Linked DNA regions of Callithrix jacchus. The protein of the gene in region 3 interacts with the protein of the main gene of each other region in a pairwise test. Links are inferred from orthologs where the notes say so. Each region holds a gene or a part of one and is shown on either strand. Other genes may lie near its edges. The genes, in order: KLHL42, CYGB and DDI1.

Region 1 (7,646 bases), on a different chromosome or scaffold from region 3:
GGGTATGCTTGACGGAGAAGAGGGAATGAATATGTTAATACGAATGCTTGTCAAGTATACTGGCAAGAAAAAGAAAATCTCTCACATAAGGTGCTAATGATATGTAAAGGGACCTAAATACAACAGATTTTAAAAATCATCTTTACCATTTGTTCCAATTATTGACTTTGGCCCTTTACCATGCAGTCACAATGAATCTATATTTTGATGATCCGTCATTGGCCCAAGAGTATCATGTCTGGAGATAGATTTGCTCCCATAATTTAAAAATCAATAATTTTAAAAATAACAAAGTTGGTCTCTTTTTTCCACAAGTTTTCAAGTAATTAGTTCAAGTAAGCTTATTTACAGCTGCTACTGTATATATGTGACCTATTTTAACCCTTCTTTACCCTTTAGGAATCAGTCTCCCTTGCAATGGGACACTACGTTTTTAAAAAAAATCTTGAACCAGTTTCTTTCATCTACGAATTCAATTCAGTCATGTTTCTGCTTTATTGGGCAGATAAAGAGAAGACACCAGCAAGTTATGTCCAAAAGCTGGAAAACGCCGAAATGCTTCCCAACTATCTGAAAAGATGTTGTACTTGAGGAACACTCGGTGTTCCAAGCTGGTCGACAGGGTGACGTCTCTGCTCATGATGTAGATGCCATCGTTATGGAGTGCACAAGTCAAGTTAAGACCCGATTTGGACGTGTTCTCCTTGAGGTAGAGCCACTGCCGGGTGACGGTGTTGTAGGACTGCACGGTGAGCATGTCCTCACTCTGGCTGCTCCTGCGGTTGGGCCCCAGCTCGTGGAGACACCCCCCCACGATATAGATGGTCTCCTCCACAGACACCATCTGCTGCTTGCGAATGTGGACGTCACAAGTTTCAAAGAGGGTCCAGATGTCAGAAGAGGGGCAGTACTGCAAAATGTTCATGTTCCGGTCTGAAAGAAAGAAAGATAAGTGATGACACCGCCCCCACTAACACCATTAGGCGAGGCTGCCCAGAAATGTCTACCTCTACCTGCATAATTTGGTAACAAAGAGAAAAAACTGTTTCGGAAAAAGCACAAGTTGGTAAAACAGTTTTCAAAATGGCTGGGAAGAGATATATTTAGATCCAGCCACACTCGCCTCCTCCTCCCAAATATCTCCTTGGGAGACTCAGACTGGATAAAACCAGGGAAAAGAGCAGCTCTGACTTTCACACAGCCCCTCCTCCCTGGTACCCGCCCCCACACCTTTGAACCACCAGGTCAGGGCAAAAAAACTAAGTGCCTCAGAACTCTCATCAATAGCTACAAAATTACCGACTACTTAATACAGAAGCCAGGCTGATCAGCAACTACATCTGTCCTTGACAGCTGATCCTAAGAAACATGACAAGTAGCAACATAGGCTCTCCAGAGGCTGTCTAGTGAAAAGGACACAACGTTACAAGTCAGGAGGAACGCAGCAGTCTCACCTGCAGCCTTCTACCAAGCCACAGAATCACTTGGCAATTCGGTTTTCCAATTTGTTTTTATTTGTAAAGACTGGGTCTTTACCATGCCCAGCCTTAGTTTCCCAATTATATCACCAGAGAGACAATAACAAAGGTCCTCCCTCTCCCTTTTCCCATTTCCCAAGAGATAGTTGCAGTGTAGAAAACATCAAAGTCTAGATAAAAGGCTTCTCTGGCATTTTTAATTAATAATGATTTTTGGCCAGGCATGGTGTCTCAGGACTTCACCATTTTAGGGGGCTGAAGCAAGAGGACTGCTTGAGCCCAGGAGTTCAAGAGTTCAAGACCAGCCTGAGCAACATGGTGAGACCGCCCCCCCCCCGCCTACAAAAAAAATAAAAAACTAGCCAGGCATGGTGGTATGCACCTATGTTCCCAGCTGCTACTTAGAAGGCTGAGGTGGGAGGATGGCTTTATTTAGCCTGGGCGGGTGAGGCTGCAGTGAGCTGTGATCACATCACTGCATTCCAGCCAGGGTGACAGGGATCCTGGTGTCTCAAAAAAAAAAAAAAAAAAAAGGTGATTTTCTTTAAGGAAAAAAATTGCCTAGTCTCTTTGTGAAAAATGCTTAAGAAATTTAGAATATCTAATTTTGCTTTTCTTGTTTTTAATTGTTCTCTTTTTCTTTTCTCCTCTAGGAAAGAATAAATGAGTATTTTAGCTTCAGCAGAAAACACAAATGCTCTGAGTTATAAACAGAATGTTGCTGTTTTTTCTAAACAATAAATCCTAACCATGAAGGAGACAGCTCAGCTTGGGCACTGGCAGACAACTAAAGCCTACAACATTTTGATGGCTGCAGATGCTGGTAAGAGAAGACAGCTCATTTTCTCAGAAGTTTCATACCTCTTTCAGTTCTTCCTTCTGAAAAGAACCCACCCATAATTAGCAGTGCTTAAAGAGCACCCTCCAAAGCCACATCTGATACAAACTAAGGTACCTCCTAAGACAGCAAAGTCCTGTACATGCAGATGTCCTGATGCCTGCAGAAATCTCAGAAGTGTAAGTCACAGTGTTTGGAAACTGTCCTGATTTCCAGCCGTATTAATACCTCTCCATATTTCTTTTTACTATAGCTATTATGATAAAGATCATTTTAGGAGATGGCCCAAGGGGATTTTGGTCAATAATTTATTAAAAAGTGCTCCTTAGTAACCTGGCTGTCCACCAAATGAATAAAGAACTCATTCTAGTGAGGCTTCCACGTATTTCACAGCTCCAGGCCTGAAGGTCTTTCCAGGTGTTCTGTAAATGTTTTCTCTCCTCACTCAACAAGGGCTCAGACCATGATGAGGTGGTTTGAGTTGGAGGAATGATCTTTTTGTTTTTACATTTAAAGTTGATTCTGAAGTTTAACAAATCACCCTTCTTCCCTTTATAGCTATTACTCACTACTGAACTTCTTTGAATTTCTTCAGTGCTGCCAAGGAATTAAAATAATCAAACAGCCATCATAAAAATCATGAGCTATTATTTGCTATATTTTAAGAGTCTTACTTGACTTAAGAATTCAGGAGTCTCAAAATTAACTTTTTTTTCTTTTTTTCCTAACAATCATGACTTATCTTAAATACAGGGAACTATTAGGCAGTGCTTGGAAAGCGCCACCAAAGAAGAAGGAGGGCTTCAGCATGTAAGTAACTGCCCAGCTCTCCCATCTTAGAAAACTAGTTTCAGCCCATACACAAATAGCCATCCATCCACATCACTGAACCATCCCATCATGGGTATTTGGCTCAGGGAATCCAGGACAGAAATCACAGTGGGTGGCCCAAGTGAAGAAGGTACATTAGCAGTGGCTTGTGAAGCTACAAAACACACAAAAAGGGTTTTCTAGGTCAAATCTAAAGGACATTTGCTCAGCCAGGGTCATGGAAAAACTAGGAGTCTACCAGTAAGGTACTCTTTGGGTTACAGTGCTGCCTGTCAGTGTTGAACAGCTCTTGTTCAGAAGAGAAGTCAAAGCACATGTGCATTATGTCAGTCCACGAGATGCAATCTGTGTTACTCAATCTAGAGAGGAATCAGAATTCTTAGAATTGCTCATAGGTAAATAACTGTATTTACTTTCCTAGAAGAAAAGACACACACACACACACACACACATGCGCGTGCGCGCGCGAGAGAGAGAGAGAGAGAGAGAGAAAGGGGGGAGAGAGAGAGAGAGAAAGGGGGGAGAGAGAGAGAGAGAAAGGGGGGAGAGAGAGAGAGAGGATTATTATACAAACACAGGAGTTCTGGCGGGCTGAAGGGCCCATGGCTTAGTCTAAACCTATAAAGTTAATCTCTGTAACCTGACAACCAATATTGAAGGTCAAAGAAATGACTACTAAGTCTCTTTTTTTTCCCAATTATATTTAAAGAAAAAGTTGAAAACTATCTTCAGTGGAGAGTCACCAGGGAGAGACATTGGGAATAGCTTGACAAATGACTGAAACTTGGAGTGGCGGGGTGGGGAAGGTCATTGCTTCCAATGCACTTCTCTTTGTCTTGCCTCTCCTTAAATACATAAATATACACATCGCTTCAGTGGGTTGCATGGTGGTCCCTAACAAGATATGTCAATTTCCTGATCCCCAGAACCTGTGAATGGTGATTTTACTCAAAAAAAGGATCTTTGGGCCTGGGACTACAGGTAGATGCCACAACATCCAGATAATTTTCTTCTTTTCATTTTTAGAGAAGGGGTCTTGCTATGTTGCCCAGGCCTGTCTTGAACTCTTGTCCTCAAGCCTCCTGCCTCAGCCTCCCAAGTAACTGGGATTACAGGTACATGCCACCACATCCAGCTATTTTTTTTCTTTTCATTTTTGGAGAAGGAGTCTTGCTATGTTGTTCAGGCCTGTCTTGAACTCTCGGCCTCAAGCAATCCTCCTGCCTCAGCCTCCCAAAGTGTTAGATTACAGGTGTGAGCCACTGTGTCCCGCCAACAACCACATTGTTCTGTATCACTGTTACCTGAGACAATTCCCTACCAAGAACAGCAGTATAAAACTTGCTGGTTAGCAAGGCATGGTAGCTCATGCCTGTTATCCCAGTACTTCGAGAGGCCAAGGCAGAATAATCACTTGAGCCCAGGAATTCAAGACCAGCCTAGGCAACATAGTAAGACTTCGTCTCCACAAAAAAAAACTTGCTGTAGAAATTTTTTATTTCCAAATTATTAACTATAAAATGCCCACCAAAAAAGTGAAAAACACACATGTACATTTTAATAAATAGTAGAACCAGGCCAGGCATGGTGGCTCATACCTGTAATCCCAGAACTTTGGGAAGCCGAGGCAGGTGGATCACCTGAGGTCAGAAGTTACAGACCAGCCTGGCCAATATGGTGAAATCCTGTCTCTACTAAAAACACAAAAATCAGCTGGGCATGGTGGTGGGTGCCTGTAATCCCAGCTATTAGGGAGACTGAGGCAGGAGGATCACTTGAACCTGGGAGGCAGAGAATGCAGTGAGTGGAGATTGCACCATTGCACTTCAGTCTGGGTGACAGAGGGAGACTCTGTCTCAAAAAATAAATAAATAAACAAATAAATAGATAGTACAACCACCTCCCACTGCTGATCAGGAAAGAACTCTTGTATTCATGTTCTTGCTCCTCCTGTGATATGTGAACAGTGTCCTGGAGCTGGGTTTCCGGAACCTCTATCTGATGTGTGTGTGCTCACAAAGAGAGAAAATGAGAACTAATCTGCAAGGATGCTCTGGCACTAAATTCCATAATGGTGGATGGGGGCAGATTTGGTATGTGTTTGAGATAAAAATGGGAGTTCCCAGATAATCTTCTCCAAAGACCTACCCAACCTCAGAGAGTGACCCCCACAAACCAGGCCCAGCCAAATCACAAGACAGTTGACCAAAAAACTGGGTTTTCAGAAGTAAAAATAATAATAACATGTTTTTTTCACAGCCCTCCCTTCTCCATTTGATTTTCATGCTCACACAGTTATCAAAAGATTCCTCTTGTTTCAATCACCCCACCCAAATGGGACTCACTTCCTTCCAGATGTGTAAGTGTACAGTATTAAACCATAAAATGACATTCGGGTACATCAGAGCTTCCTCTGACACCGTCTTGCCCTTCCCAGCTGCCGACACCTACACATGGCCAGACCACCTACTTATTCCCTTCACTTACCTCTGGTAGTGTATCCTCCAATGACATAAATTTTTCCCTTGCACTCACAGGCAGAGAACTCAGCCAGAGGATTGGGTAAGGGTGCCACAAAATTCCAAGCATCCTGCTCAGGGTTGTAACACTCAACGTTAGAAACGGCCTGCCCTCCAATGGCATAGAGTTTTGAATTAACAGCCACAAGTTTGAAGTTAGACCTAAAAGAGAGACACAAAGGCCCCAGAGTTAGTTCTTCTAATCAATGAAAAGCATGACAATCGCATGAACTACTAGAATCTCCTGGACATCTGAAGAAAATTAGCTCTCCCAGCTGGAAGCCACTCTGCCTGAGGACAGAGGAAGAAAGGATGGCTTCTCAAATCTCACTCCTGTCCCCAAGATTCCACAGGAATGGCACACTGTCCAAACACTGGCTTCTGAAGATAAGCAGCTCAATATAACAAGTTATTAATCTTGCTCAGCCTTAGTCCAGCAACCAAAGACAATGTGTATACACTAAATTCCACACTCTTTCAGGGGCAGGCACAAGGCTAAGAGAGGAAAAAGGCACCCACTTCACCCCCTTGTCTTTTACCGCTCAGAATGGTTATTTCATTCTTCCTACTGAGTAGCATGGCTTCATCTTAGACACACTGGTGCTGCCTAGACAGACAGGCAGCTGTGACGGGTGACTGCTAAAGGGTGGGTCAGGAGATCTTTGCACCACCAGGACACCTGAGCAGACCACTGGCCCTGCCTCATATTGCTTCACAACATACAAAATAGGGAGAGGTCAGCACTGAACAAATTCACAGTTTGTATTTATTTATTTACTAATTTATTTCTGAAACACGGTCTTGCTCTGTTACCCAGGCTAGACTGTAGTGGCACAGTTATAGCTCACTGCAGCCTTGAATTGCTGGGCTCAAGAGAGCCTCCTTGCCTCAGTCTCTCAAGTACCTGGGACTACAAGTATGCACCACCATACTCAAGTCTACTCAGCTAATTTTTTATAAAATTTTTTTGTGGAGATGGCATCTCACTATGTTGTCTGAGCTGGTCTTGAACTCCTGGCCTCAAGTGATCCTCTTCCTTCAGCCTCCCAAAGCGCTGAAATTATAGTACCAGATACCACAACTGGCCTCAAAAATACTTTGATCCATGGTTTGTAGTTCTCCTTGAAGAGATCCTTTACGTTCCTTGTTAGTTGCATTCCTAGGTATTTTATTCTCTTGGTAGCAATTGTGAATGGCAGTTCGTTCTTGACTTGGCTCTTTAAGTCTGTTACTGGTGTATAGAAATGCTTGTGATTTTTGCACATTGATTTTGTATCCTGAGACTTTGCTGAAGTTGCTTATCAGTTTCAGGAGATTTTGAGCAGAGACAATGGGGTCTTCTAGATATACAATCATGTCATCTGCAAATAGAGACAATTTGACTTCCTCCTTTCCTATTTGAATACCCTTTATTTCTTTTTCTTGCCTGATTGCTCTGGCTAGAACTTCCAATACTATATTGAATAGGAGTGATGAGAGAGGGCATCCTTGTCTAGTGCCAGATTTCAAAGAAAATGCTTCCAGTTTTTGCCCATTCAGTACGATATTGACTGTTGGTTTGTCGTAAATACCTTTTATTATTTTGAGATACATTCCATCAATACCTAGTTTATTGGAGGGTTTTTAGCACAAAGCACTGTCAAATTTTGTCAGAGGCCTTCTCTGCATCAGTTGAGATAATCATGTGGTTTTTGTTTTTGGTTCTGTTTATGTGGTGAATTATGTTTACAGACTTGCGTATGTTGAACCAGCCTTGCATCCCCGGGATGAATCCTACTTGATCATGGTGGATAAGCTTTTTGATGTACTGTTGCAATTGGTTTGCCAGTATTTTACTGAAGATTTTTGCATCTATGTTCATCATGGATATTGGCCTGAAGTTTTCTTATCTTGCTGAGTCTCTGCCAGGTTTTGCTATGCTCAATGAAATAAGAGAGGACACAAACAGATGGAGAAACATTCCATGTTTATGTTTAGGAA
Region 2 (8,287 bases), on a different chromosome or scaffold from region 3:
ATCCGATTTAACTAGTGATACTAAGCAGGCACTGTTATGATGATCCCAGCTGGCCTATCCAGTGTCACAGAAATGCCTCTGTTTCCTGTACAGTCCCAGGGCTTCCCGTCGGGCCTTCTGATCATCAGAATCTCAGGACTCAGAATCCCAGGACTCAGAGGACAGGAGACAGGAAGACTGAGGTTCTCTCGGTTGCCATTGTCACATATCAAAGGGACTCATTGCTGGCAAGTCCCCACTCAGAGACATGGATGGTCACAGGACCCCGCCACCTGCATCCACCCTGTGTGGAGACACCCTCCTGCCAGCAGGCCCTGACCCAAGGATATAATAGGATATTTTTTACTCTTTGTTTCACTGGGAGCAAAAAAGTCCTTCTTCAGACGGGTCTCCCATGCTAGGTGAGTCCATAGGCACAAAAGGAACCCCTCGTGCACGGGAACTTAATAAAGATTTGCTGGTGTATCCCTGTATTTCGTTGGGATAGGCGCCCCTGTCATCGAACGACAGTGGTCACCCACGGAAGGAAAAGTCTGGAAGTTCCCCCAACTTCACCCCCTAAAGACCACATGGCTTCAGCCTAGGGAAGAGTTAACTTTCTGGCCACTGGAGACAGCGTCCTGCCCGCAGGGGCTGCCCAGCCAATGGCACTCAATGCTGATGATGTCATGCTCCTCCCGCGCCTTCTATTGGGGACTGGACAGCGAATCCTGCAGGAGGCTGGGGCTGCGAAGCCGAGGCGGGGCGGGGGCAGAGGAGGAGGAGGGGGAAGGGCAAGGAAAGGCGAGCAAAGCCGCGCACAGCTCCTCCTGCCTCATCCCTGCCTCCACTCCCCTGCGCCTCCCGACAGAAGGTGCCCCGGGGGACCGCTCCGTACTGGAGATGAGAGGCACAGCAGCTTTGGTCCAGAGGAGCGGCTGGGGGCTCCCATTCCCAACTGCAGAAAACAAGACATCCGGCCTGCCCACCAGGCGGACGGGGAGCTGGGTGCCTAGGGCAAGCGCCGGGAGACGGTGCAGCACAGGCGCACACACAGGCACACACGTGCACCCCCAACCAGGCACAGCCACAGCATCCTTGGCAGCACCCTCCCTCTCCCAGCCCAGATTCCAGCCTTACCTGCCAGAGGCCTGAGGGTCTGAGTCCACGCTGCTGGCCCTAACTGCCCCATCCACGTCGCTGGGCTCTCTGTGGGAGGCAAGAGTAGGCAGGAAGAACTATGGCCGTGCCCGGCCCCTCCACAGGTCCCAGCCGCATTGGGCTATGGCACTGGAGGCTGCAACTAGAGCTTTTGACGCTCTAAGTGTCCCCTGCTCTGAGACTGAGCTCTCAAGGGTTCCTTGAAAATGCCCTCCCAGCTCCCCTGAAGGTCCAGGCTTAGTGGCAGCCCAGCCCCATGGGTCCTCCCCCACCAACCCCCAGCCATAGCCCAGTCAGTTTCTCACGGTTGGACTCTGTTGGCAAATCGGCGGCGCCAGAGCATGGCCAGGGTGCTGAGCAGGAAAAGTGTGGTGCACATGGCGCAGCTGCCCCATCCCCTCCCAGACCAAGTCCACAGAAGGCCACAGGCGAGGAGCCAAAATGGCCCCGGCCAGCTCTCAGGAGCCACTGCGGTCTGTCCTGCGGTTCCTGCTGGGGATGGATTAGGAGGCTCAAGCTGATTAGTGGGTCAGCGGCCTTGACCTTGGGAGGACTGATTAAGCTCGCTGGGCCCCGGTTCTCCCCTCCAGCGGTAGGATCAAGGTGTGTACTGTGGCATTGGGCACATATTCGGAATGTCCATCTCTGAGACCAGGCCTTGCTTACAAGGAGCTGCCAGTCTAGACGAATGTGCTGTCAAGTACAATGACTGCAGGAGAGTGACCCGGGAGTGATTCAAGGCGCCTCCAGGGCACTTTCAGAGTTGCAGGCATCAGGGCAAGGTTCAGAGAGGGGCGAGGGCATCTGAATTTGCAGCGCAAGGAGGATGAGCCCTCAGACAGAAGACGCTGCGAGGCTACTGACATGAAATCATGGAGCATCTGCGGGGAACTGCAAGGTGAGCAGAGGTGAAGCAATGATGTCACCGCAGAAAGATCAGGAGAGGAGGAAGAAAGGGGAAGAATATTCAATAACGAAGCCAGAGAGACAGGGGAGACTCGACAGTGAAGGGCTGGCACAGTTTACCCTCTGGACAATCCTCTCCAAACTTTACTGATTACACACCCTCTTCAGTAAAAGGCAGAATTCAAGTGCGCACTCACAAAATAGATAGGTGCACCCACCTACAAATTATATGCTAGATGACGATGCAGATACATCCCTACACCATAAGGCTGCACTGAATTTGCAAAGGATGAGATGAAAAGAAATAGCGGTTTTCTCCTACTTTCCACATTCCAAGGGGACCTGTTGGGCAGCCACTTGGTCCCAGCAACTTTGAGAAACTGTTCAGTGTGTGTGGAGCGTAGAACCAGCCATGACCACGCTGAGACGTGGGTCTGGGAGTAATGAGAGAACCTGAACCCACCCACTCCTCTCCACCCCTCCAAAACCTCCAGGAGGCGTTAGATTTTCCTTCACTCAACAAGGGGGAGGCAGTGTCAGATGCACTGCCCCAGGGTCCCCCAGGCACCGGAGCCCTGAGCTCCCAGGAAGGGCCCAGCCTGCAGCTGAGGCTTGCCTGGGCGAGTTCTCCCTGCCTCCCCAGGACCTTACAGTCGAATTTTAAGAATAAATACATGAACCATAGCAGAAGCCCAGAGCCAACCCTTGGCAATGCTTGGGCAATGGGACACCAAGTCTTGAGCAAGGACAGGGTCACGGGGAGCCTGAGTGACTTCTCTTCCTGACACTGCCAGGAACTGTCTGGCCTCAGGCTGTTCCCAGGACCCAGCAGCCGCTGAAGGGCGGGCACCATGGAACTCTCCCCCTACCTCTGGCCCAACGCACACTGCTCTGGACAGGGTCCACCAGGAGGAAGGATTTGTCTCCCCCAGCCCGGAATCAAGCCCTTGGTGGCAGCTGAGATGTCCCCAGCGGCTTGTGCCTTCCTCAGGACTTCTTGACCGGCAAGTCCTCTCTGCCCTATCCGGTGCCTCTCCGGACTTTTCTCCGACACCAGCTGGGCCAGAATTCAGGGCAGCGCCTAGTTCTTGCCTGTCCTTGTCATTGGTAAGCCACGGGGGACTTCTCGACGCCCCCGCCGCCACGCGCGTGCACCGAGGGCAACGGGGGTGCTGGGCGGAAGGAAAGGGGTCGCAGGCCTCGGGCGCCCGCGATCGGAGGTGCGCTCAAGTTCCGACAGCCAGGGCGGTGGGCGGGCGGGGGGACGATCCCAGTCTAATCCCCCCACCCCAAGAGCCGTGGCGCCGCGGCCACCAGCGCCTGGCTCCGGGGAGAGGCCGGGGCTCCGGGAGCCCAGCGCGGTCCAGGGGACCCCACGGAAGGGCTAGCGGGCAGCCTCACAGCGAAAGCTCGGGAGTGTTGGACTTTGAGTCAGTTCCCCGCCGCTGGAAGGGTCTGCACGCGCACACCCGGGATGCCGCACGCTTTGGGAGCCGGGACCAAGCGCTACCGGCCCGCGCCCGCCTCGGCGCACTCCTGTGCGGCCCGCGCCACCCTATGACGCGTGACCGCCCATTCCTCCCGGGACCCCCATTGCCCCGGCCACACCTACCCCAGCCCCGCCCCGCAGTGCAACTCCGCGGTGGCCTGCGGGTGGGCGGGCGGCAGTCGCGTCGCCCCCACCCGGAGCAGCTTTTCACCTTGCCGGCATTGGCTCACCCACACGGGGCCCGGGGTTTGGAGCGGATTTGTTTTTTTAAACATTTTCCAGCAGACCACATCCCCGCCCCCCGCTGGCTGTCCCCCGCCCCCCGCACATATACCCTGCACACACGCACGCACACACACACACACACACACCCGGCGCGCACAGACACACGCTTCCTCCCTCCGCGCTCTACCCCTCGCCCGCCCGCCGCGCACGCAGCCGGCCCCGGCTCCCCGCTCCCCGCGCCCCGCGCCCCGCGCCCAGCGCTCGGCGCCCCGCGCCCCGCCACCGCCGCCGCCGCCGCCGCCGAGCAAAGCCAGGCTGGGCTTGGAGCTCCTCATGGAGAAAGTGGCAGGGGAGATGGAGATCGAGCGCAGGGAGCGGAGCGAGGAGCTGTCCGAGGCGGAGAGGAAGGCGGTGCAGGCTACGTGGGCCCGGCTCTATGCCCACTGCGAGGACGTGGGGGTGGCCATCCTGGTGAGGTAGGTGTCGCCCGGCCCGGCCGGGCCCTGGGCAGGGAGGGCGGCAGCGGCTCCGGGCAGAGGCGGGCTGGGCCAGGGTCCGAGCTCCGGCGCCACCTCCCCAGCCGTGACTGGGGCCGGTGCGAGGTCGGCGGGGCGGGCAGCGTGGGGCGCCTTGGGGTGAACGAAGCCTGGGCTGAGCTTTCCCTGGCTCTGGCGTGGAGCTCACCAGGAACTAGGAACAAGATGCTGGAGGGCACCTCGGTCCCCCTCCTTTTCCCGGCCTGAGAACTCCTCCCTCGGCCAGAGACCCCAGACACCCAGCCAAGCTGTCAGACACACACATTTTTCTGGCCTTTGAAAGGGAGTAGCAGGGGCTCCCCATTTTAGAGATGGGTAAACCGAGGCTCAGTCAAGAAAGGGGACAAAGAGGAGCAGACCCTTGTCTCAAGCTCAGCTGCTCACTGGATTCAAAGCCTCTTGGAAGAACAGGGAGCAAAGAGCAGAGGTTGAGAAGGAAGAGAGCTGGGGTCCAGTGTTCCCAGCTGCCCTCTTCCTGCTGGAGGTGCAGGTCAGCAGGATCTCCTGGCGCAGACACAGGTGTGGAGAAGCAAACAGTGCGGGAGCATACAGTCCCTGCTGAGTCTGAGGGTGACTGGAGAAGAGAGAAGCCTAACCCTGTCAGGAGACAGGGCCTAACCCTAAAACCCCCCACCTAGGGAGGAAATGCAGTGGCTTGGGCTTAGGGGGTCATTCAGGCACCACACGTCCCTAAGAGAGCCACACACACAGAGCGTCCCATTCATACACCTGCCCAGAGCGTGCACACACCATTCTCATTAACGTGATGTGTCCAAGCCTCGAAAGCTAGTAACTGACTCGAGCTACAAATCCATGCTCTCTTCCCACATGTGCTGGCCCCTGGGGGTGCAGGCAGAGAGGTTCCAGACCAGCTCACTCTCAATCCCCTGTTCTTGGCAGAGGAAAGGGTCAAATCTAGGACAGAGCAGGACAGCCTTGTCATGGGAAGACGGGTGAAGCCTCGCTCTGCAAGGATAGCTTTAGTGCCTCCCCGACTCCCAGGCCTCTCCGTCTCCAGCTTCTCTCTCTCAAGCCTGGGACCTACCCAGCTCCACCATGATATGCCCTGATTCCAACTCCGAAGCAGATTTTGGAGGAAAAAGAGCAGGAAGCACTTCTAAGGAGTTAAAGGAGCATTCCTGAGGATGGGGCAGCTATCTCAGCAGCACCCCAGGCCCAGAAACAGAGCTGGGAGCGGCCGGAAGCTAAGAGGGGCATTGGGATCCTGGAGCCTCAGACACTTGGAACCGCAGATCCCCCCACGGGCTGGCATCTACACAAGCACACAGCGGGTAGCAGAGCCAGACTGCATCCTCGGACACTGGCAGCCGGGTGCGTGTCTAGGCAAGCACATGGGTCACCAGAGGAGGCAAGCCAGGGTCCTCAGGACCTTGGAGGTTTTCTGTCCCAACCCCTGCCACGTGCCTGTGCGGATCCGTGGAGGAAGTACTCACCGTCCACATCCCGGGGCACCACTGAACCTCCCCAGGAAGGGGACCAGGGTGGGGCAGATGCCAAGGAGAAATGAAGCACTGAGGGCAGGGCCATGTCTGGACAGTCAGAGCTTTCAGCCAGGATTTCTTTTTTTCTCTCCACCCCTCTTCCAGTCTCCACTCCTGTCTCTTAGAGGGGCCTGGGCCTGGGCTGGAGGAGGTCGTTACCAATGTGCTCAATTCTGTCGGACTAGAGCCCAGCCTGTCTCAGCTCTGTCTCAGCCACTCCCTGCCAGCCCAACCCCACAGGGCCTCGCTTTCCTTCTTTCCTCCTGTCTCTGCCCAGGGCCTGGTCAGTAGGGGAGGGGAGGAGAGGGGGATAAGGGCTCCTGAAGGTCCCTCCTTAGATCCTGCGCCCATCAGTCTTGACACAGTGCTTTCTTCCCACACACAACACACACATCCTCAAGGTCAAGGCCCCAGCTGGAGCCCTCCGGCCAGCGCTCTCAACTGTGCCCTCTTCACTGCACCAGGCCAGCGCTCTCAGCCCTAGTGAGCCTGCAGGGCAGGGAGAAGGCCGCTGTACCTCCACAGCCCCAACCTGGAGAAGTTGCCACGTTGGTGGGGGTGGAGGAGGCGTTACTTTCAGAACCTGGGGCAGACCCCACACTTCCACTCCCAGCCAGGGAGGAGACCAAGAGGGAACACCCACCTTCCCGCCGGGTTGTAACTCTGACACCTTCCTCCTCACACTCAGACAGGCCTATTTCAGGCTCTCTTGGAAGCCCAGATTCCTCTGGGAGCTGAGAAACTCCCCAGGGCTGGCTGTGGAGGCTTCTCCCTGGCAGCACAGGCTGAGACTGGGCGAGTCTCAAGTGGAAACATCATGGAGCCAGGAGGCAGGAGCCACACACGTGGGCCCCACGGGCTGCAGAACCTTGGAGGGTCTGGGTGGGGGCTCCCTGAGACTGTCATTCCTCAGGGCCACAACCCAGTGGTGGGTGTTGAGGCAGGAGACACCTGGTTACCAGGCCACAGTCCCCTGGCACAGCCATCTTTTCAGGCAGTGTGGGGAAACCATCAAAGCAGGGCCCATCTGGGCCCCTTCCTGGCCCATCTACTCTATTGGGCAATCTTGGACATCTATTCCTAATTCATAAGAGGGGGATTAAAACGGTGCGTATCTCAGGAGGGAAATGCAAGTATTTGTGAGATCATACAGTAAGTGCTCAATAAATTTTCCCTGTTGTTTCCTAATCAGTAAAATAGAGGTAACACCTGCTTAGCTGTGGCAATTAAATACAATAACAGACCAGGCACCTCGGCTCACACCTGTAATCCCAGCAATTTGGAAGGCCAAGGAGGGCAGAACACCTGAGGTCAGAAGTTCAAGACCAGCCTGACCAATATGGCAAAACCCTGTATCTAAAATACAAAAATTAGCCGGGCCTGGTGGCGGGCACCTATAATCCCAGCTAATTTGGGAGGGTGAGAAAGAAGAATCACTTGAACCTGGGAGGTGGAGCTTGTAGGAAACCAAGATAGCACCACCGCACTCCAACCCGAGTAACAGAGTGAGATTCCATGAAAGAAAGAAAGAAAAAGAGAGAGAGAGAGAGAGAGAGAGGAAGGAAGGAAGGAAGGGAGAAAGAAAAGAGAGAGAGAGAAAGGGAGGAAGGAAGGGGAAAAGAGAAAAAAAGAGAGAGAGAAAAGAAAAGAAAAAGAAAGAGAAAGAAGGAGAGAGGAGGAAGGGAAGGAAGGGGTTCAATAACATACGTGGAGATACTTTGCAAATTGTAAAACACCAGGCAAATATATATCATTATTATTTTGAGTCAGGGTCTTGCTCTGTCACCCAAGCTGGAGTGCAGTGGGACGATCATGGCTCACTGCAGCCACCAATCCTGTGCTCGTGTGATCAGATCTTCCTGCTGCAGCCTCCCAAATAGCTAGGACTACAGACATGCACCGCCATACCAAGCCAATTTTTTTCTTTTTTTCTGGAGACAGGATCTCATTATGTTGCCCAGGCTGGTCACGAACTCCTGGCCTCAACGGATCTTCCTGCCTTGGCCTCTCAAAGTTCTGGGATTACAGGCATGAGCCACCACACCCAGCCTTTTATTATTATTATTACTTATTATCATTATTTCTTTTGATTTGGGATCTCACTCTGTCACCCAGGCTGAAGTGCAGGGGCATAATCTTGGCTCCCTGCAGCCTTGAGCTCCTGGGTTCAAGTGATCCTTCCACTTCAGCCTCCTGAGTAGCTAGAACCACAGGTGTGTGCCACCTCACCTGGCTAATTTTTTGTATTTGTAGAGACAGGGTTTGCCACATTGCCCAGGCTGGTCTCAAATGCCTGTGCTCAGGTGATCGCCTGCCTTGGCCTCGTAAAGTGCTAGGATTACAGGCGTGAGCCACCGTGCCCGGCCATATCATTATTTTTTATTGCAATTGTAAAACCTCCAATGTCTGAGATGCTCATTTAAGTCCAAATTGGGTTTTTCACATTGGTCCCTCATTACAGTGCTTCTCCAGAAAATTCAGTGTATCTT
Region 3 (8,255 bases):
ATGATAAAACATAGCATTCATTTCAAGAATCCTTTTTGTTTGTTATATAGAGATATACATAGAGATAGAAATACTTCATGTGTGTTTGGGTGTGTAGTGTGTAAAATTGAGTTACAATGTAAAATGTAGGTTGTTGTCAAAAATTTTTTTAATTACTGATCTTTGACTATTTGAATGTTTCTAAGAATTCTGAGCCTCAAATTCCTTATCCACAAAATGGGCTGAAAAATAGTGATTTTCAAGGTTTACCCTGAGGATTAAAGGGAACCATATGCAAAGTACCTGCATGGTGCCTGATTCCTGTAGAAGACAAGCAAAAGATGTAGCCTTTCCCAAAACTAATCCATGTAAAATTTAATTGATCGCGAACCTTTTATGTATACACAGGATTATATTAAGACTTTAATTAATTTTTAAAACACTTTTCAATTTGAAAGTCAATGACTTTTAAAAGTTAATCAATAAGGGCATTGCTTAATTAATTCATTTTATTTAATGATTTTTCTTTGAGGTCATTGCTTTTCAATTCAGTATAAATGTTTTTAATTTATTCATTCATTAACTCAAATAATATTTTTAGGATTTGGAATATGGCCAAATAAACATGACATTTTTAAGAGAATACTAATATGTCCTATGAGGAATAGTTAAAAATCTGTTGAAAACCTACTAAAGCCTAAAAATGGATATGTGGGCTGATACTGATTTCATACAGTAAAAAGTTGGTCTCATGCCAGAAAGATTAAATGTGGTCTTGGGAGAAGGAAGAATGAAGACCAGCTTATTGGAAGTGATAGGACAACAGATTTCAGTTCAAAATAAGAAGCAAATAATTTTACCTGAGATTTGTCTCAAAACCTTATAACTATAATTCAGAAAAGGTATTTCTCTGAGAAGGTAGGGTGGGTATGGTCAGATTTGATATCATGTAAACTGTCTTTTTTTTTTTTTTTTTTTTGAGACGGACTTTCGCTCCTTACCCAGGCAGGAGTGCAATGGCGCGATCTCGGCTCACCGCAACCTCCGCCTCCTGGGTTCAGGCAATTCTCCTGCCTCAGCCTCCCGAGTAGCTGGGATTACAGGCACGTGCCACCATGCCCAGCTAATTTTTGTATTTTTAGTAGAGATGGGGTTTCACCATGTTGACCAGGATGGTCTCGATCTCTTGACTTCGTGATCCACCCATCTCGGCCTCCCAAAGTGCTGGGATTACAGGTGTGAGCCACCGCGCCTGGCCGTAAACTGTCTTTTACCTTAAAGGTTCTGTGGCTGACTTTTTTGGGTCAGATACCCTGAGGAGTCCCATGTGATATATGCAAATAAGATTTTTTTTTTTTGCATAAATAAAGCTTAAAATTGAGTCCAGAAGATGGTGCGGATTTTGCATAGCTTTATCTTTGAGAGATTTCATGAATTTGTCAGGTCAATTTACATTTATTCATAAGCATTTTGCTTATCCCTGACTTTACTCTGTCTTTTCTGCTAATTGCATTTGTCTTGAGTGCTTAATTAGAAACAAAAGTAGGAAGGAAATCTGTCCATTTGATCATTTTTAGCAATTCTACTGGGTGTAAAACTTTGTGCAAATGTAGACAAGATTGGGAAATGTGAGCATGGGAATATTTATAGAGAAGAAAAATGGGAGGTGAACTGATGGAGGCTGGGAGAGGAAAGGTGACTTTCTTTAGAAAGAGTGTGATTTGTGTGACCAAGAAGTAAAACAAAAAGAAGTATGTGGGGATCATAAGGGAGGATGGCGTATTTCTGTACCCTTTGGGAATGCTGTGTGGCTTTATGTTTTGTCAGGAAAATAGAATAACTCAAAGGACATCCTAGATCATAATGAGGTTTTAGTACTTGAAAAGTGACACCTTCCGGGGGGCGGGGCCGGGGGGGATTCATAGATGAGGAATCTGAGTTGTAAAGTAGGTGAAGTAATTTGTCTAAGTAATTAAGCATAATCAAAGCATACTCTTCTTGACTTTGAATCCACTGTTGTGATACCAGTCTTGATGAATTATTGCCCCGAAATATTTCCCCTCCATCTGATGGCCTCAGGAAGCTGGAACTTTTCTAATAGTGTTTCAGCCATGGATTGTAATTAAGTCTAGGATCTTCCATTTCCCAGTGTCCGTCGTAATAAAGAGTGGCTTTGTCACAGTGAACAATTCTGTATGAGGCCTTAGAGATCTTCTCATTCAGAAGTTTTCAAATGTTATTTTAACAGTGAAGCCCTTTGTTCAAACAATATTGATGTAGCAGCAGCTTAATATCTAGAGCAGACTTTTACTTTAAACAGGAGGAAGAGAGAGATGATCTAATTGCAATGCGTATTAGGGAACCTAGATCACTGCCTGTCCCCACCACTCACTCCCACCACTGTGCAACTTGACTCCCAAGAAGTACCATGATTTCTTTAAAAGAAAATCTAATTTATTGCCTTTATTTTACAGCCAGAGTTTCTTTGAATGCAGGGGAGATAGAAAATTAATGTAACATCCTTGGAGAAAATTCCACTTTCTCAAATATGGCAAAAACAGCCTTTAGCTGTGGACTACAGTGTGACTGCAGGAGATCCAGGGGGAGGGAAGGTGTGAACATGAGGAAATTGGCCTTTATGTTGCCCCAGACAGACATATTTATAAGTATTAGTTAACATGAGAATGTAATTGACCCACTAATTCTAGTGCCTTTCTCAAAAACAAAACCTATGAAAACAGACATATTTCCCTGCATATAAAGAATTGTTAGTGCTGATGTGAAATAGTTTTATGTAGATGCCTTGTAAGGTCTGTGGCCATGGCATTTCTCCAGGGAATTCTGCAAAATAGCAACTGGTTTGGATAAGCCACCTGTAATCTGATAGAATGATGTCTCTAAAAGAAGCTGATTTTCTTTTTTCACGGATTATCTGGAAAGCCGCTGGAGCCTCCAGAGCCTTCCCAGGATGCCTTTCAGTGATCTCCGGACAAGGGAAATGGAAGAGGGACCAATACCAAGGAATCAGGATTGACAGTTACCTATCTGAGAACGTAGTCCCAAGGCCAGGTTTAGTTGTTACTGATTTTTTTTTTAATGATCACATTTCTGGTGAGCGCCCATCGTATCATTTCCAGGGACCTGAAGCTCCCTTAAGGTGGTGACATATTTATAACGCGCTTCAGTGCTCTTTTTGTCCGAAATCCTTGCCCGAATGTGTAATTTCCTTGTCAGAAGGCCCATCTTGCCCATTTACCATCCTACTGAGTAAGGGCGACTCTCCCTCAGGAAGGAAGTAGGTCTGCGTGCCAGTGGTGCCGATGACCAGCACGTTTTTCTTCAAATCGATGGAACATTGATGTCTTCGGAGCATATCTAGGCCTAGAAGCATATCCATGGGTTGGTCCGCAAGTATGGAGAAAGAGCACGGTAAGAAATCACCTTCAATTTGAATCTGAGCCAGATGAACGCGGCCGATAATGATCTGCGTGCCCACTCCTTGAGCAACCCCAGCCCACCGTCGGTCCACCAGCCTCATGATGTTACAGCGCTCGGCACAAGCCTGGCTCATGATGGTCATCTGGGCGCCCGAGTCAACAAACGCCTTCAAAGGACGCCCGTTCACTCTGCAGTTAATGTAGAGCATCGTCACTTGTCCGAAAGTCTCGGGCGCCTCTTCCATCGCTATATTCATGTTTTCTTCCACGTTCCTCTGCCGGATCTCCTCTTCTATTTTGGCCTGAGCTTCCAGATCCAGGGGGTCGGCCGTGTAGAGACGAAGCCTCTCCCGCTCTCTCGAGGCCCATTCCCTTCGCTGCTCCATCAGCACCTGAGCAAAGGTGTCAAGGCTTCCGCTGAGCAGGGCCTCCGCCAGGCTGGGGTTGCGTTCCTCGAGCAGGGACAGATGGTGCCGGTTGGAGAGCAGCGTGCTGCGGATCAGGGCTGGGCTGCCCAGGCCTTGCGGGCCGGCCGCCTCCTCCCCCAAGGCCCGGCCGTGCGCCCGCTGGGCAGAGGGTGCGCGCTGCTGCCGCTGCTGTCCTGGGTGCTGCGGGCGGGAGCTGGACGTCCCGGGTGCTGCGATGCCGCCGCTCAAGTCTACACGAGGCTGGTTCGGGGCCCGGGGTCCCACGTTGTCCCTCTGCAGTAAAACCACCACATCGCCGTCTTTGAGGCCGTAGGAGCCCAGGGAACAGTGGTCGTCAATGAGGAGTCGCTCCATGTGGATGATCTGGATCTCGTCGGCGGGGACTCTGGACTCCACCTCGCAGAGGACCTTGAAGTTTCGGAGCTCAAAGTCAGGGCTGACCTGGAGGGAGAAGGTGACTTCCGAGAGGTCCCTCCGCACGCAGTACACGGTGATGAGCATGGCGGGGACCTGGGCGTGCCGGGTGGGCAGAGGGCATGGGCCGCTCATCGGGGGCTGGGGCGGGCCTGTGTTGTTGGCGTCGCTGCTCCTCACGACTCAGTAGGTCACTCGCCTCTCAGAGGGACGGATGCTCATCTGCCTGGGGCTGCCTCCCAGCCTCAGTGCCAGCCGTGTGGCCCAGTGGAGCCTTGAGGTAGCATGTTGTATTCCAAAGTCCATTTGTAAGTGCCCTGTCTGGAACCTAGAATGCCTATTTCCATGGAAACGCAATGACTCAAAGCTGTCGGGTTTCAAGGCCAGCCCTTCAAAGCCTATTTAACACGATAGGAAAGAAATTATTTCAACACCTTTTGTTTGTTTGTTTTTTGGAGACAGGATCTCATTCTGTCACCCAGACTGGAGCTCAGTGGCAAGGTCACAGCTCACTGCAGCCTCGACCTCATGGACTCAAGCAGTCCTCCTCTCTCAGCCTCCTGAAAAGCTGAAACTACAGCCATAGTCTACCATGCCTAGCTATTTTTTGTATTTCTTTTATAGAGATGGGAGGGATCTCCCTATGCTGCCCAGGCTGGCCTCCAACTCCTGGGCTCAAGCCATCCACACACTTCTGCCTCCCAAAGTGCTGGGATTACAGGTGTGAGCCACCGTGCCTGGTTTCAACACTTTCTAAACAGCATATTACCATTTGTTTTGCTTTAGAGTTATATTCTTTGTACTTGTGTGTTCCCCACCCACGACCCCAAATAGTGTCTGTTTCCTACATGGTAAGTATCATTCTGTGTCTATAATACAAAAGTCAGACTTGAAGCCTGCCCTCGAGGAGCTCACATTCTGGAAAGGGCTAGATGGGTGAATGGGTAATCACATGTTCAGGGTACTGCCTTTAGTATCAAACAGAGAATGTTTCCTAAGGAGGAGACAAGCTGGATGTTGAAGGATGAGCATCTTCCAGGTGAAAAGTGGTCTCTTTCCAGAGGGAAGCAGTTCATGTTACAAAAGCAGGAATTTATGGCAAGGCCTGCTATTTCTAGAGAAAGAGGAGACGTTTTATGCAATAAAAAATTGTACATAACTTTGAATAGCAGGATATGAAGCTGGAAAAAAATAGTTGGAGCCAACTTATGAAGTCATGTGAATTCAAGGAGTTTAAATATTAAATATTATCAAGTAGCAAGAATTCTCCCTCCAAAAAAAAAAAAAAAAGAAAGAAAATGAAAAGGAAGGAAAGGGAAAGATTTGAAGCAGGTGTTCATGCTTTTTTTTTAATTGACTTAGGGAAGAGGCTTCTTGCAACGCATAGGGGACAAAATGTGTCCCTCTGGCAGGAGGGCCAGTTGGGAGGCCTTTCTGGTGGTTCAGAGCGGGAGCTGTTGCTAGAGTGTGGAAACCTCAGGAGGACAAAAGCCAAAGCAATAGGGAAGAAACAGGTTTTTTGAGTAAAACTGATAGAATGCGCATACCCCTTGGAGGTGAGGCGTGTAAAAGCAGTGGAGTGTGTGGATAACACAGAGGGTCTCTAAAATGGGAGACTGGGTAGACAGGCCGTTGTCTTCAAGGGAATAAACGAGTGAGTGAGATAAATCTTTGAGGCGACCCATTTGACATCAGTTCTGTAGGAAAATGCATTAAGGATGCCACCTCGGAGGCCAATATGCCTCTGACACTTGGACATGGCCGCTTTCTACACACCACACACACACACACACACACACACACACAGAGTGGAGGCTGTCATAGTAAGGGCGAAAATCCTTCAAGGCAAATGATGATAGGGTAGAAATCCTTGCGTGCTAGTTATTTTTCTCCATGTTTAATGTTGAATAAAGTATTTAGCACTGTACAGGGCTCATGTTTCCCTGGCTTGATCCTCCCAGGTATACCTACTTATGAGCCAAGATAGTTGCTATCCTCTGCCTAGTTTCCCCTCCTTCTTTAAAGTGTCATTAGAAAGCCTGCACCATGACACTGTTATACCATTGTGGGGAGAAGGGTGTCACATCAGCCTAAAACATTTTTTTTTGGCTCCTGTTTCTCATGTGTTTGTCTCAGATGGAAGACTATGTCTCTCATTGCTCTAATTATTATGTTTCCATACTCATATTTGCTTATATGAGAAAGGTTGACTGAATGCCCAGTGTATGTGAAGAGTGTGCTAAGTTCTCAAGAAACAAACGTGACTAATGTTAAATACAGGCTCACAGTCTAAATTAGAACATGTGCACACACACAAACTGAAGGGTAAAATAGGATCACAGTAGGAGCTGTGATAGCTTAGGAGAAATGAGTAATATCTGGAGAGAAGATGAAGAAGGTGAGGGGTTGGGGGCAGAGAAGACTTCCTGAAAGAACTGGGCCAGAGTGGAGAAACAAAGGCTGGGAAGGAAGATGACCTGACTTAGAGCCTTTAACTGGAAAGACAGTGTTTCATGATATGAGGATTTCTTTTAATTTTAAGAAAAAAATCTAGCATTGTAATTTTCACCATTTATACAGATGAATGGCCCTTTGACTCAAAAATATGATGTTATGGTTCTTTGCACACTGACAAGTTTATCAGAGATTACTTGTGGTTTCTCCTGCGTTTGGAAACAATTATCATGTGAGATGTCACATGCAAACTACTCTGCTAAAGAACAGATTGAGAAACCAGTGAGACTTTAAGTCAGTGTTCCTTTATCTGTTTTCCCCAAATAGCTTTGTACAATTTGTTCTTCAAACCATAAGCGAGGGGGATTATACTGGGGCTTTTGTTTATTTTTTAAGAGCAAATGAAATTTTTTTTGTAGAATAAGCTTCCTTTTATTTCTTATAAAACAAAAATTGTGAGTTTACATGAAAAGAAACTAACATCTTTTTTCTATACCATTGCCTTGATACTGAACATATGTGAATTCCATGTGATATGTTTTATTATTTCCCTGTAATTCTTTACTTTGGGTATCATTTTATATTTGTGTGGTTTTCAGCATTTTACCTTTTACTGAGAACAGACACTGAAAAGAAAAAAAGCCTCAAGGTCTGGCCAATGAGCTGTCATCATTCCATAGGCCACAGGATGTCAAGGTTGCCAGGGATCCTTTGGATTCCATAGTCCAACACCCATCCAGGTCTTAAATCTCTGTTGCAAAAATCCCTGGAATCTGTACAGCTAAACAGTTTCCTGTGTTTAGTACTTCTGTGTATACATTATTTGATTCTTTCATTTTACCCAGCACGATTGATGGTTTGTTAATCAAATACCATATGTATAAATCTATCAACTCAAATTTTAAATGAAAACCTCTTCTGATTGTACAATGAACTTGGAGATCATTGGATATATATATATATAAGCATAAATATATATATATATATATATAAACATAAACTCCAACAGTTTATGTTTAGGAATATACATATAGGTATAGAAATATAAACATATATGTAGAAATATATATGTATCCCTAAACATAAACTGTTGTTATACCGTAAGTCCCTATCATATAGTCTGTTGAGAAACTGATGATCTGACATACTGAGTTGTGTAAATCTAAGTAACTGAGGTTCTCAAAACTTTTCTTGAGGAATTCTTTGTGAAGTATATTCCCTTACTTTTCTCCCTCAGTAAGTACAATATAAGAACATAATTAAATCTTTTTTGATAAGTGAGATTCCTGCAGAGTCTCCAGGCTATCACTCAGAAATCAATTCTAATTGTTTGGCCTAAATGCCCAGAAAATAGAAGAGATGGGACTGATTTTATTCTAGCCAAGTAAATAACCCCAAAGTTATTTTTTCAAATAAACCCACAATACCATTTATAATTTGCCTCTTTCTAAAAACTTAATGTGACAAAAAAATAAAACCCAGATAGCTGATGGTTTCAACTGAGAGTTGATATTTAAAGTACTATCTCTTGCTTTACTAAGCA

The links.
Region 1: the proteins of DDI1 (region 3) and KLHL42 interact in binary tests that used the Homo sapiens proteins (3 or more experiments, as listed by UniProt). The two-hybrid records come from large-scale screens. The link is inferred for Callithrix jacchus from reciprocal best matches to the Homo sapiens genes DDI1 and KLHL42.
Region 2: the proteins of DDI1 (region 3) and CYGB interact in binary tests that used the Homo sapiens proteins (3 or more experiments, as listed by UniProt). The two-hybrid records come from large-scale screens. The link is inferred for Callithrix jacchus from reciprocal best matches to the Homo sapiens genes DDI1 and CYGB.

The regions. Positions count from the first base shown.
Region 1 is NC_133510.1:43,424,302-43,431,947, forward strand, and holds part of KLHL42 (kelch-like protein 42), read right to left. Parts: intron 5,829-7,646; coding exon 5,635-5,828; intron 934-5,634; coding exon 482-933; 3' UTR 1-481. UniProt on the Homo sapiens protein: Substrate-specific adapter of a BCR (BTB-CUL3-RBX1) E3 ubiquitin-protein ligase complex required for mitotic progression and cytokinesis. The BCR(KLHL42) E3 ubiquitin ligase complex mediates the ubiquitination and subsequent degradation of KATNA1.
Region 2 is NC_133506.1:132,425,575-132,433,861, reverse strand, and holds the start of CYGB (cytoglobin), read left to right. Parts: upstream 1-2,929; 5' UTR 2,930-4,093; coding exon 4,094-4,236; intron 4,237-5,750; coding exon of another isoform or gene 5,751-5,844; exon of another isoform or gene 5,845-5,981; intron 5,982-8,287. Other genes in the region: photoreceptor disk component PRCD, read right to left, coding at 1,120-1,188, 5,751-5,844. UniProt on the Homo sapiens protein: Probable multifunctional globin with a hexacoordinated heme iron required for the catalysis of various reactions depending on redox condition of the cell as well as oxygen availability.
Region 3 is NC_133511.1:4,027,289-4,035,543, reverse strand, and holds DDI1 (protein DDI1 homolog 1), read right to left. Parts: upstream 4,512-8,255; 5' UTR 4,394-4,511; coding exon 3,161-4,393; 3' UTR 1,437-3,160; downstream 1-1,436. UniProt on the Homo sapiens protein: Probable aspartic protease. Seems to act as a proteasomal shuttle which links the proteasome and replication fork proteins like RTF2. Required, with DDI2, for cellular survival following replication stress.